Drosophila melanogaster: one gene and its partner. The protein of the gene in region 2 interacts with the protein of the main gene of each other region in a pairwise test. Each region holds a gene or a part of one and is shown on either strand. Other genes may lie near its edges.

Region 1 (5,148 bases), on a different chromosome or scaffold from region 2:
AAAAGCGTATAAATTGTAAGTACAAATTAATTTTCCATATCTTCTAATACAATTATTAATACCATATTGTGGCGTCGTGATAGACATGGAAAATATCTGAGAAGAAAGTTTTTAACACCCGAAAAAGGCTTGCACATATGAATGCATGTCATATGCACGTCTAAATGTATATACATGTATGTATGTAAACGTGCATTTGTCTTATAGGAGCAATTACTGGACCAGCGGAGGATGAAAAGGTGGACACCAAATACTGACGTTTTATTTAAGCAACATTAAAATAAAAAGCAATTATTTTTATTTAAAGCATCGATGTTTAAAACGTCGATGTTATTCGCCAAAAACATCGACATCCGCCAACATCTAGTTTCATTTCAACTAACAGTCGTTTTAAGCACTGGTGGCTGCAAAGTTAATCGATTTATTAAGAGATGGTTGCTTTTACACATAAAAAAAATATGCCTAGTTTTTGAAAAAAAAAACAACTTAGTTCTTATCAAGATAAAATAAATATGGCAACGGCCTAAAAGAAAAAAAACTTTTTCGGTATTTTTAAAAAAACAAGTAGTTTAATAGCAAATTGGCTTCCAATACATTTCCAACTGGGATTAATTGTCTATCGAAAAAAGTGTCATCTCTACCCAACCAAACAGCTGTTCCCTCATCTACATTTGTTATTTAACCATTTTGGTCGCCGAAAAACGAAATAAGAATGAATAATTGTATTAAAGTAGTGCCCATTGCCCTAAGGTGCCAGCAGAGGACCATCAGTACTTCATCCGTGCTGGAGGGCAAGCGGAACTTCCGTAAATTTAACGCATACAACAAGCGCGGTACGCGCGTGGTAAAGGAAGCCCAGAAAACACTGGCCAATCCGCCGGTAGCCATTCACAAGCGAGGTGTACGAGACACGGGCATACTTGTCGACGGGCAGTATGTGGAGATTCCCGAGAAAATTCCGGACATCATAGTTCCCGATTTGACCGGTTGTAAGCTAAAGCCATACGTGTCCTATAAGGCGCCGGACGTCGTCCAGTCGGAGTTCACCAGCTTGGATCTCTTCAACGCCGTCTACTCGCAGAAGATTATCGAAGATTTCAAGGCGGGAAAACTGCAGAAGGACGGCAGCGCCAAGGAGCCCTCGGTCAATGAGCAACTGACTCCGGAGGAGGCCTTGCAACGCGCTCGAAAGACGGGCAGCGATATATTCTAGACATAGGTTTATTGTTTCTTAAATACAGAGTCTAAACTCGACTACTCCTGCATGTACTTTTGGCGGTAATTGTACAGCTTGCGCAGCCACTTCTCGGCCTTCATATCCGGGTCGCCCAGGAACTGTCGGAATTGAAAATCAGATACTATTAGCATGTATATTCGAGCACCAGGTAACCCACTCACGTTCGGATGGAATATTACATCTTCGTTTCGGACTGCAGTGGCTGGCTTGCTGGCGACTGTGACCGTTTCATTGTTCAGATCTATGATCACCTTATCGGATGTCTCCTTTGAATCCCTGGAGCTAAAAAATGACTCCGGCTTGAAGGTGTCCTCGTCTATAGTCTCGAGTGCCTTTTGCACCTTGGTGTCGAACAGATCGATGGCCTTCACGGGAGCAGCTGCGGGTGTGGTTGCGGATCGGGAATTGCTTTCCGAACTTGGACCCCTGGTTTTCCTCTGCGAAATAGACCGCGATTTGTGATGATCCCTGGTTCTGCTTTTGCTGTGCGTGCTGCGGGAACTACTCCTGCTGCTGGAGGAGCTGCGCGAGGTGCTGCGACTGCTACTGCGACTCCTTCTCGAGTACTTTTTCGACTTCTTGGCCTTTTTCTTCTTCGGTTTTGAAACCTGCCGGCTGCTCCTGCTGGGCGACTTTGATCTGTGTCGTCTGTCGCGGTCTCGCTCTCTGTCTCTTTCTCGGTCCCGATCTCTATCCCTCTCTCTGTCGCGATCTCTGTCACGGCGGTCGCGATCCCTCATAATGTGTCCTTTATCGGCAGTTAATTATTTATTTAGTTTTTTATTTATGTTATATTTCTTGTGTGCCGGACGTCGCTCATTCCCAAAATACAAAATCGCCTGTCAAGAAAACGCAACATTTTTACGAATATTCCAGCTGGCCACACTGATTGTGTCAACATGTTTACCGCCTATCGATTTTTGGACTTATCGACCGATTTTAATTTAAACTAATAGGCGCGAATTTTAATTATAGTAATCACTTTAAAATATTTAACTTAGAACTATGTGTAATATTAAATCAATTAATTCTTTTTAACATATTCATTTAATATACTACATTTATTGAGTTTTGTCCTTACCGGCTTAGCATGTCAGTTTACAGACTGATGTGGGGTCTTTTAATGTCCAGTTTGCCGTACGCCCAAAGCAGGAAATACTAATTGCTGATTAACTCTTAGCAATTATACCTAATCAGCAGTTATCAAGATTATAGGAGACCTTATCGCTGATGACCACTAGCCATTCGTTAAATCAACTGGGATCGAAATTCCCACACGATCTATCAGTCTTGGCGAATCAAACCATTTTGCAGGCAAAAATAAACAGTCATAAATTAGGCAGCCAAATCTAGGAATCCTTATCAAGTTCCTGGGGGGCATATAAAAGGCACGGGCGGCCAAGTCAGCGGTCAAAGCACCTGCACCTGTGGAATACAAAATGTTGGTGGTTCAGCTAATTGCGGTTTTTTTAAGTCTGGGCTTGGCTAATGCCCTGCCTGCGGATACGGGGCGCGCCAGTTCGGTGACAACTGTAAGTTTTAGGATGCCATGTTCTTTGGCACCCAAAAGTCCTTACTAACCACTATATTGCTCTACTTTCCAGGTCACCATTGTTAGGGGACACGGTTACGAAATCGAGGAGCACGAGGTGCAGACCTCGGATGGTTACATCCTCACAATGCACCGCATACCGTACTCGAAGAACACTGGGTACGATGGGCCACGCCCTGTTGTCTTCCTTATGCACGGTCTGTTGTGTTCCTCCTCGGATTGGGTTCTTGCTGGACCTCACAGTGGGCTGGCATACCTGCTGTCCGAAGCGGGCTACGATGTGTGGATGGGTAATGCCAGAGGCAACACCTACTCCAAAAGACACGCCAGCAAGTCGCCGCTGCTGCAGCCCTTCTGGAATTTTGAGTGGCACGATATCGGAATCTATGATCTGCCCGCTATGATGGATTACGTCCTTTACTGGACAAATGTGACTCAACTTACGTATGTGGGTCACTCTCAAGGAACCACATCCTTTTTTGTGCTCAACTCTATGATTCCGCGCTTCAAGAGTCGCATTCGATCTGCTCATTTGCTCGCTCCTGTGGCCTGGATGGAGCATATGGAGAGTCCTTTGGCCACGGTCGGTGGACCACTGCTTGGTCAGCCCAATGCCTTCGTCGAGCTCTTCGGCAGCGCCGAATTTTTGCCAAATACACAGCTAATGAACCTGTTCGGGGCTCTCCTCTGCAGCGATGAGGCCATTTCACAGTTCATGTGCACCAACACCCTATTCCTGCTGGGCGGCTGGAACTCGCCATATATCAACGAGACCCTGCTCCCAGATATTATGGCCACCACTCCGGCGGGATGCTCAGTAAATCAGATCTTCCACTACCTGCAGGAGTACAATTCCGGATACTTCCGGCAATTCGACTACGGATCTACGCGCAACAAGAAGGAGTACAGCAGCAAGACCCCGCCGGAGTACGATGTGGAGGGCATCGATGTGCCCACCTATCTCTATTACTCTGACAACGACTACTTTGCTAGTCTGATTGACGTGGATCGCCTTAGGTATACCATGAACCCGAGCGCCCTGAAAAGCGCATATCGCATGCCGGAAGAAAAGTGGAATCATATCGACTTTCTGTGGGGACTGAATATTAAAGAAATTCTTTATGATCGGGTAATTAACGACATAAATAATGCATAAATGTGCGCTGGAAATAAAAAAAAGCGACATACGTTTTTGTGACATTGTGATAAAAAAAGTTCCATTGGTCACCACTTCAACGGGGGCTTTTGGTAGCTAATGAACCGATAATATACGAGTGGTCATAAATTCAAATTGATTTGGTGACACTTCACGGTGACTGAACAACGCAAAACGAACTAGCCTGCTAACATTTTTTGCCTTATAAGTGCACCTGCTAAATACAATGGATTATATTAAGTGTAATATAATAAAATATAAGCTGTACTAGATATTTTTATTTTATTTGCTGATTGTGTACTGTTGAGAAATATTTTGCACTCTTAGTTTGAATTGCGCGCCAACTTTCAGGGATGAAGCATCTTGTAAAATCATCGATAGACTTTCAGCGTTTTTTGTGGTAGTCGATAGTCCGCAACATACTGATCATAGTAAAAAATATCTGTAATGTATATTTAGGTGGGAAAATATATTCATGGCATTTATTTATACGTTAAATCAATTCTTGTTATGATATTCCTTAATTGTAAAAAAATTTTATTCTTGTTCTTATTAGCAGAATATAAAATTGACCAGTTTACGTTAACACTTTTTTTTAAATACAAAAATTTGATTTATATTTGTTTATATTTTAACGAACCGATGTGTGGTGCACCACTGTGCGTGTGTCACGACAATACCCAAGCCGATATTATCGATGTTTTCATCGATGTTATTTACTCGAGCAGGTACATCCACGCAAGGAAAGCTAATTCGAGCGAAAAAAAATTTACTTAGCTCTTAATATTTTTAAAAACAACGCCCTCGCTGGGCCAGTGGTCGGTTAACTAGTTAGCTGTAAGATGACGCGCGTAACGAGAAGTGAAATCTCCCTGGACATGGAGTTCTGGGTGGAGGAGCTGTCGCCGGCACAATTGGCGTACTACGAGAAGATTACTAACGAGCACAACGCGGTGAAGGGTGCACTAAAGAACGCGGTTAGCGCCAACGAGGGCAAGGAGCTGTTTAACGGCCAGGTGTTCCAGGCCTACTCCTTTAAGGGCAAAGTGCTGCAGGAGCTCAAGGAGGCTACGCTGCCCAAAAAACCACCCAAGCCGACGGACTCTCCCTCAACACCCGCCGCCCAAAGCGGTGGCACAGGGCGGGGTCGTGGCCGCCCACCACGACAACCATCCAACATCGCCTACCTGGAGTCCTCCGATG
Region 2 (5,884 bases):
AATTCGATTAATTTACATATATTCTTTATTTTATATGTACAACTACATTAGTTTGATAGTATTTCTTTAAAAATAAATGACATGGGACTTTACTAGCCGGTAATAAACTCAATGCCGTAAAATATCTCCACATTGGCAGATAAGATAACTTAACTGAACAAATTTATAGATACCAAACAGACGCATAAAATTGACCAAATGAAGACGAAAACTAGCCAGGCACTGGACTTGAAAGGACTTTTAAAACGATTGACTACGCCGCTTCCCAGGAGCTCTGAGCAAGTGCGTCTCGCAAAGTAAACCAAGAAAACGGGGATAATGTATTGAATGCCAGTGCCTGCGTAGGTGCCAGTAAATGCCACCAAACTGGATAAACTTTCAGTGAAATAGGTGATACAAAAAGGCGGAATTATGGCGAGCAAAGGGAAGCACAGGCGTAGGATAACGCTATAGGATTCATATTGCGACATGTCTAGGAATAGAGATTGAAGGTTGTTCTTCAGCGTTATGGCAACAATGGGAAAACTGGTTGACAGGGTAAATATGGGAAAAAGTGCAAGGAAGTAATCAATGCAAATCAATAGACCTGACCAAAAGTCTACGTAGGCCACATCGTAGGGCAAAAAATCTAATGTGTAAAGGTCTTCGATTCGTTCGAAGGCAAAAATGCCTGTCATGGCCAGTAGAATGTAAAATGCACAAATGATTATGTAGTCAATGGATAGAATTTTGGAAACCATTGACTTGTGTCTGATGGGCGCCAGCAAACTGGGCAGTGAGTGGTGGCACATGAAGGAGTAAACACAGGCGCCGAAAAGAGAGGGAATTCCATATACATTAAAGGTCGCTGGATGACCTTTGGCACCTCTGGAAATCAAAAGTTTTAGCGATATGCAGATCATCAGGGTAAAAGCTGAAATACCACGTTTTAATATCTTATTAGTTGCACAAAATTCGAAGCTTACCCATCCACCGAAAAGCAGCGGTCAGCATCTGCAGGTACTTCGTTTTCTGCACATTAAAGTACACAAATGGACCAAAGATCAATGTGAATCCTATGAGCAACACCCTGTACATGTTCAAGCGAGATATCGTGTGTTCCTTCCAGCAGGCCAGAGATGTATTGTTCTCAAAGTCTCCGGGCCAATACATCAAGTTATTAGTATCCGTTCCATTTGTTTGGTCACTGAAACAAGACGATGAATTAAATTACATTCTCAAACGTATGAGAGAAAGGTTTTCATAACTCGGAAAACAGTTTCCAAATTAGTTTTTGATCCGATGTAAGCTGCGTGCGGTTCTGAGTACTTACCATACGACGTCACGCAGACTTCTTGCCACGGCGGCGGAATATATGCTCAGATCCCCGTAAAGATAAACAATCAGGCAGAGATAGAACATTACGCGGCCAAACTCATTAAAGAATAGTGTCGCCATTTCGCCAAGTTCGAATTTGTGGGACAGCTGATAGTAGTGGAACTCCCGGTTTTGGATGGTCAGCGGAACCCGCTCGAAATCGCCAACTTGCTCGGCTCCCGATGCCAGCGAAACATCATCAGCATTATCATCGTTTTCACTGTTTTCGGCGGAACTGCGACTTTGGCGCAGGGCCTGCAGAGTCTGCCAATTCCTGATTGCATTCGCACAAGCCATTGCTTCTATGATAAAAGTGACCGTCATGTAACTGATGATGGCCAGCAGAACAATGACGATCAGGGAAAGCATCCATCCTGCCCTGGCAAAGACTCCGGGTAGCGTCAGCGCTCCGGTTCCAACGATTAGATTGAAAATGAATATGAAGCCAACCTGTGGATAGAAAAGGAAATTTTAACTCACGGAGCGACAGGTGTTCAGATTGTGGAACGAAAATAAGTGCACACAACGCAAAAATTGTGCAAGTGGGCGTTATGGAGTAGATTCTTATATTTCCACTGGCACACCTATATGTACTTAAGGCGTTTTATACAAAAATATAAGCACAAATCTTTCTGACTTTTGTAAAAATGCACATTTGTTGCGCAAACAGCATAACAAACATGCAACAAATGCATACAATCCTTTGTTTTGGTGAAAGGAGTCGCTGGCTCCACACATTGAAGTTCAACTTACCAGATTCGAGTACGTGGGCGCGGCTTCGCGGCCATTGACAAGGCGAGGCATCTTTACGCTGGTTCTTTGTCTTTTCACCAGGCTTCTATCCAATCCGATTCAATCAAACTCTTAACAAAAAGAAAACAATAATAGAACAGATAGTGCACTCAATGCAGTGTGCCCAACTGTTTTGACGAAATAGAGTATACACACAATTTCCTAACGCCACAGAATTAATTATTTAAACACCCAATTGGCGCGTAATTTTAAAAGTATGTTTGTACACCACAGGAGACGAATTACTTCATTTAAAGCTAAAAACAATTCGATTTTATTTCAAAACAGTAAATTTGTCGTCTAATATATACATTGCACAACATGCGCGTGTGTAGCGAATAAAAGGCTAAACTAAAGCTATCCATGATCGACTAGGAAAGGCTTAGAAATTTTACTGCTTCTTGGGAACTTCAGTGTCGTTTTGCCTCTTCTTGCGATTCTCCAATATACTTGTGATGAAGAACTCGCCGGCTTTGTAGGAGCTGCGCACCAGCGGTCCACTGGCTGTGTACAGGAAACCCAGTTCGTTGCCGCGCTCTTCCCAGTGCTTGAACTTCTCGGGCGTGACGTATTCGATGACCTTGAGGTGCTTATTCGTGGGCTGCATGTACTGACCCAGGGTCACGCAATCTACGCCGGCCTCCCGCAGATCCTTCAAGGTGTTCTCGATCTCCTCGTCGGTCTCGCCAAGTCCCAGCATAATTGAACTCTTGGTGATGAGATTGGGGTTGAATCTCTTCGCTTCGGTTAGCACTTGCAGGGTCTGGCGGTAGTGGGCGCGCCGGTCGCGCACATAGGGAGTGAGCTTCTCAACCGTCTCTATGTTGTGCGCATAAACATCCAGCCCGCTGTTGGCGATCGTCTTCACACACTCCAGATTTCCTCGGAAATCAGGTACTAGGCACTCCACAAAGATGTTTGAGTTGCTAGACATAAAGTATAGATTAGGTTCGAACAAATTTAATAATGAATTCGTCTTACCGCGCCTTAATTTCGCGAACAGTTTCGGCAATGTGCTCCGAGCCACCGTCTGGCAAATCTATGGTAGTAAAGGCATTTTAAGCTATGGCAAGTCAAAAACCACTCCAGTACTTACCATCTCGATCAACTGAGGTCAGAACAATGTAATCCAATCCCCAGGAGGCAATTGCCGTGGCTGTGTTCACGGGTTCGTTTACATCCAGCGGTGGTGGTTTGCGTGCCGTTTTCACCGAACAAAATCTACAGCCTCTGGTGCAAGTGTCGCCCATAAGCTAGGTAAAAAATGTATTGTGAAATGGTGTAGTTAAGAAGTATTGGTTCGTCAATATTCGTTGTCTGGTTGCTTTAAAATGAATTGTAGTTTAAGTGACTTTCATAATTTAAAATTTAAAAATTTAAAAAGACGCCTAAGCTGTGGAAAATAATGTTCAGACTATCTGAGCATGTTCGGTTATCAGCAAAGGTCACCATGGGGGGTCCCTCACCATAATCGTGGCTGTCTGGGTGCCATGCTCGCCGCCGCCCCAGCACTCGCCGATGTTGGGACACCGGGCCTCCTCGCAGACGGTGGACAGCTTGAGCTCGCGCATCTGGGCCTTGATTTTGGCGTAGTTTTTGCCCACGGGAATGGTGGTCTTTAACCAAGGCGGCAATCGCAGTCGCTGCTCCTCGCCCTTTTCGCGGCGTAGCTTTCCATCGTACTGTTCCCACTCGTTTCTGGTGTTGTCCGGATTCTGCACAAAGTCATGGAAATTCGGACCCTTTGCCAGACGTTCACGAATCTCCTCAAGCTTCTCCGCATTCGTTGATGCCGCACGCTGTTATTATTCAATCAAAATAAGTTGTTTTTATATGTACTTTTCAAGCGTTTGCTTACGGTGGCAACTACAATGGGGGCCTCCGCGTGAGTTTTTAAAGCTCGCAACATGACATACATATGAATTATTTTACAATTATTAAAATATAAACGATTTATTTTGCTTGTCGAAACTTATGAAATATTTAGTAAGACCGTTTGCCACTTGCTGTTTTCATGGGCACTTTTTGTGGAGAACAGCTGTTTCTATAAGAAGCGCGTTTATGGTATTTAGTTGGAAAAAATTTATCGCTAGCAGTATTTTAAACAAAGATTTAGAAAGGGGTTCCTTTTAGAGTCATAAAAAATTGTGAGTTGACAAAGTCGCCACTTTTAATTTGTGCATGATTGCATGTAGAAGTTATTCTAAATACTTGTACCTTAAATATATTAATCCCTTCGCAAATTAATCGAACATCGATAGTTCAGCCGGACGAGCGCACTGCCATCACTAGTATATGAGTCGCTTTAAAACAAAAGAAAGTTTTTACCAGCTACATTTCTTTGGTTTCCTTAACTGTGAGTAGTCCAACTCCTGCGAGTGTCAAGCTCGGTCCTAATCGGTGGTGCTCCCCAAGAAATCCCATCACACAACTACGGCTTCGCAGGGGGAGGCGTCCAGCGCTACGGAGGCGAACGAACGCACACCACTGATGGCTGCTGTCAATCTCCAGGCTTCGTGCTCCTCCGGGCTCGCCTCTGAGGATGACGCCAATGTGGGCAGCCAGATAGGCGCGGCGGAGCGTTTGGAACGACCTCCAAGGCGGCAACAGCAGCGGAACAACTACGGCTCCAGCAATCAGGATCAACCGGATGCTGTGCGTATACCGAAGGGAAACTTTGTTGCTTACACATTCAACTATCGAATCCCCTTTCCTGCCAGGCCATACTTGCTGTGCCCAATGTGGTGATGCGTGAACCTTGTGGCTCGCGCCCTTCAAGACTGACCGGTGGAGGAGGCGGCAGTGGTGGTCCGCCCACAAATGAAATGGAGGAAGAGCAGGGCCTGAAATACGGGGCCCAGCATGTGATCAAGTTATTCGTCCCCGTCTCCCTTTGCATGCTGGTAGTGGTGGCTACCATCAACTCCATCAGCTTCTACAACAGCACGGATGTCTATCTGTAGGGTTTACCAGAAATCTACTTATCTGAAGTGTCGGTCGTGACTAAATGTCTCTTTTGTTCTCAGCCTCTACACACCTTTCCATGAACAATCGCCCGAGCCTAGTGTTAAGTTCTGGAGTGCCTTGGCGAACTCCCTGATCCTGATGAGCGTGGTGGTGGTGATGACCTTTTTGCTGATTGTTTTGTACAAGAAGCGTTGCTATCGCATCATTCACGGCTGGCTGATTCTCTCCTCCTTCATGTTGTTGTTCATTTTTACGTACTTATATTTGGAGTAAGCTGAGGCCATTTTCGATTAATGTTCAACTAATAGTTTGCCTAATTTAGAGAGCTTCTTCGCGCCTATAACATACCGATGGACTACCCTACTGCACTACTGATTATGTGGAACTTTGGAGTGGTCGGAATGATGTCCATCCATTGGCAGGGACCTCTGCGGTTGCAGCAAGGATATCTCATTTTCGTGGCAGCCTTGATGGCCTTGGTGTTCATTAAATACCTGCCTGAATGGACTGCCTGGGCTGTATTGGCTGCCATTTCTATTTGGGGTAAGTTTGACACAGCTTGAAGGCCAAGATTGCTGAAATAACTAAGTTTTTTTTATTTTCATTTATTTATAGATCTTATTGCTGTCCTTTCGCCAAGAGGACCCCTCCGCATTCTGGTGGAAACGGCTCAGGAGCGAAATGAGCAAATCTTCCCCGCTCTGATTTATTCATGTAATAATCATCCATCCGCATAAACTTTTAAATTAAATAATATATCCTTTTCAGC

What was found. Proteins that work in one complex are often made in the same cells at the same time.
Region 1: the proteins of Las (region 2) and CG11808 interact in a two-hybrid assay, tested with the Drosophila melanogaster proteins (one large-scale study listed by BioGRID).

What each region holds. Positions count from the first base shown.
Region 1 is NT_033778.4:15,213,129-15,218,276, reverse strand, and holds CG11808 (uncharacterized protein), read right to left. Parts: upstream 2,071-5,148; 5' UTR 1,978-2,070; coding exon 1,399-1,977; intron 1,336-1,398; coding exon 1,255-1,335; 3' UTR 1,214-1,254; downstream 1-1,213. Other genes in the region: mRpL41 (mitochondrial ribosomal protein L41), read left to right, coding at 713-1,213; CG8093 (uncharacterized protein), read left to right, coding at 2,677-2,769, 2,842-3,945; row (relative of woc), read left to right, coding at 4,788-5,148.
Region 2 is NT_037436.4:20,428,204-20,434,087, forward strand, and holds Las (lipoic acid synthase), read right to left. Parts: upstream 4,159-5,884; 5' UTR 4,058-4,158; coding exon 4,007-4,057; intron 3,948-4,006; coding exon 3,615-3,947; intron 3,402-3,614; coding exon 3,245-3,401; intron 3,188-3,244; coding exon 3,130-3,187; intron 3,075-3,129; coding exon 2,540-3,074; 3' UTR 2,402-2,539; downstream 1-2,401. Other genes in the region: CG5262 (uncharacterized protein), read right to left, coding at 150-913, 966-1,186, 1,313-1,806, 2,110-2,160; Psn (presenilin), read left to right, coding at 4,639-4,803, 4,869-5,107, 5,175-5,384, 5,438-5,658, 5,731-5,829, 5,884-5,884. UniProt on the Drosophila melanogaster protein: Catalyzes the radical-mediated insertion of two sulfur atoms into the C-6 and C-8 positions of the octanoyl moiety bound to the lipoyl domains of lipoate-dependent enzymes, thereby converting the octanoylated domains into lipoylated derivatives.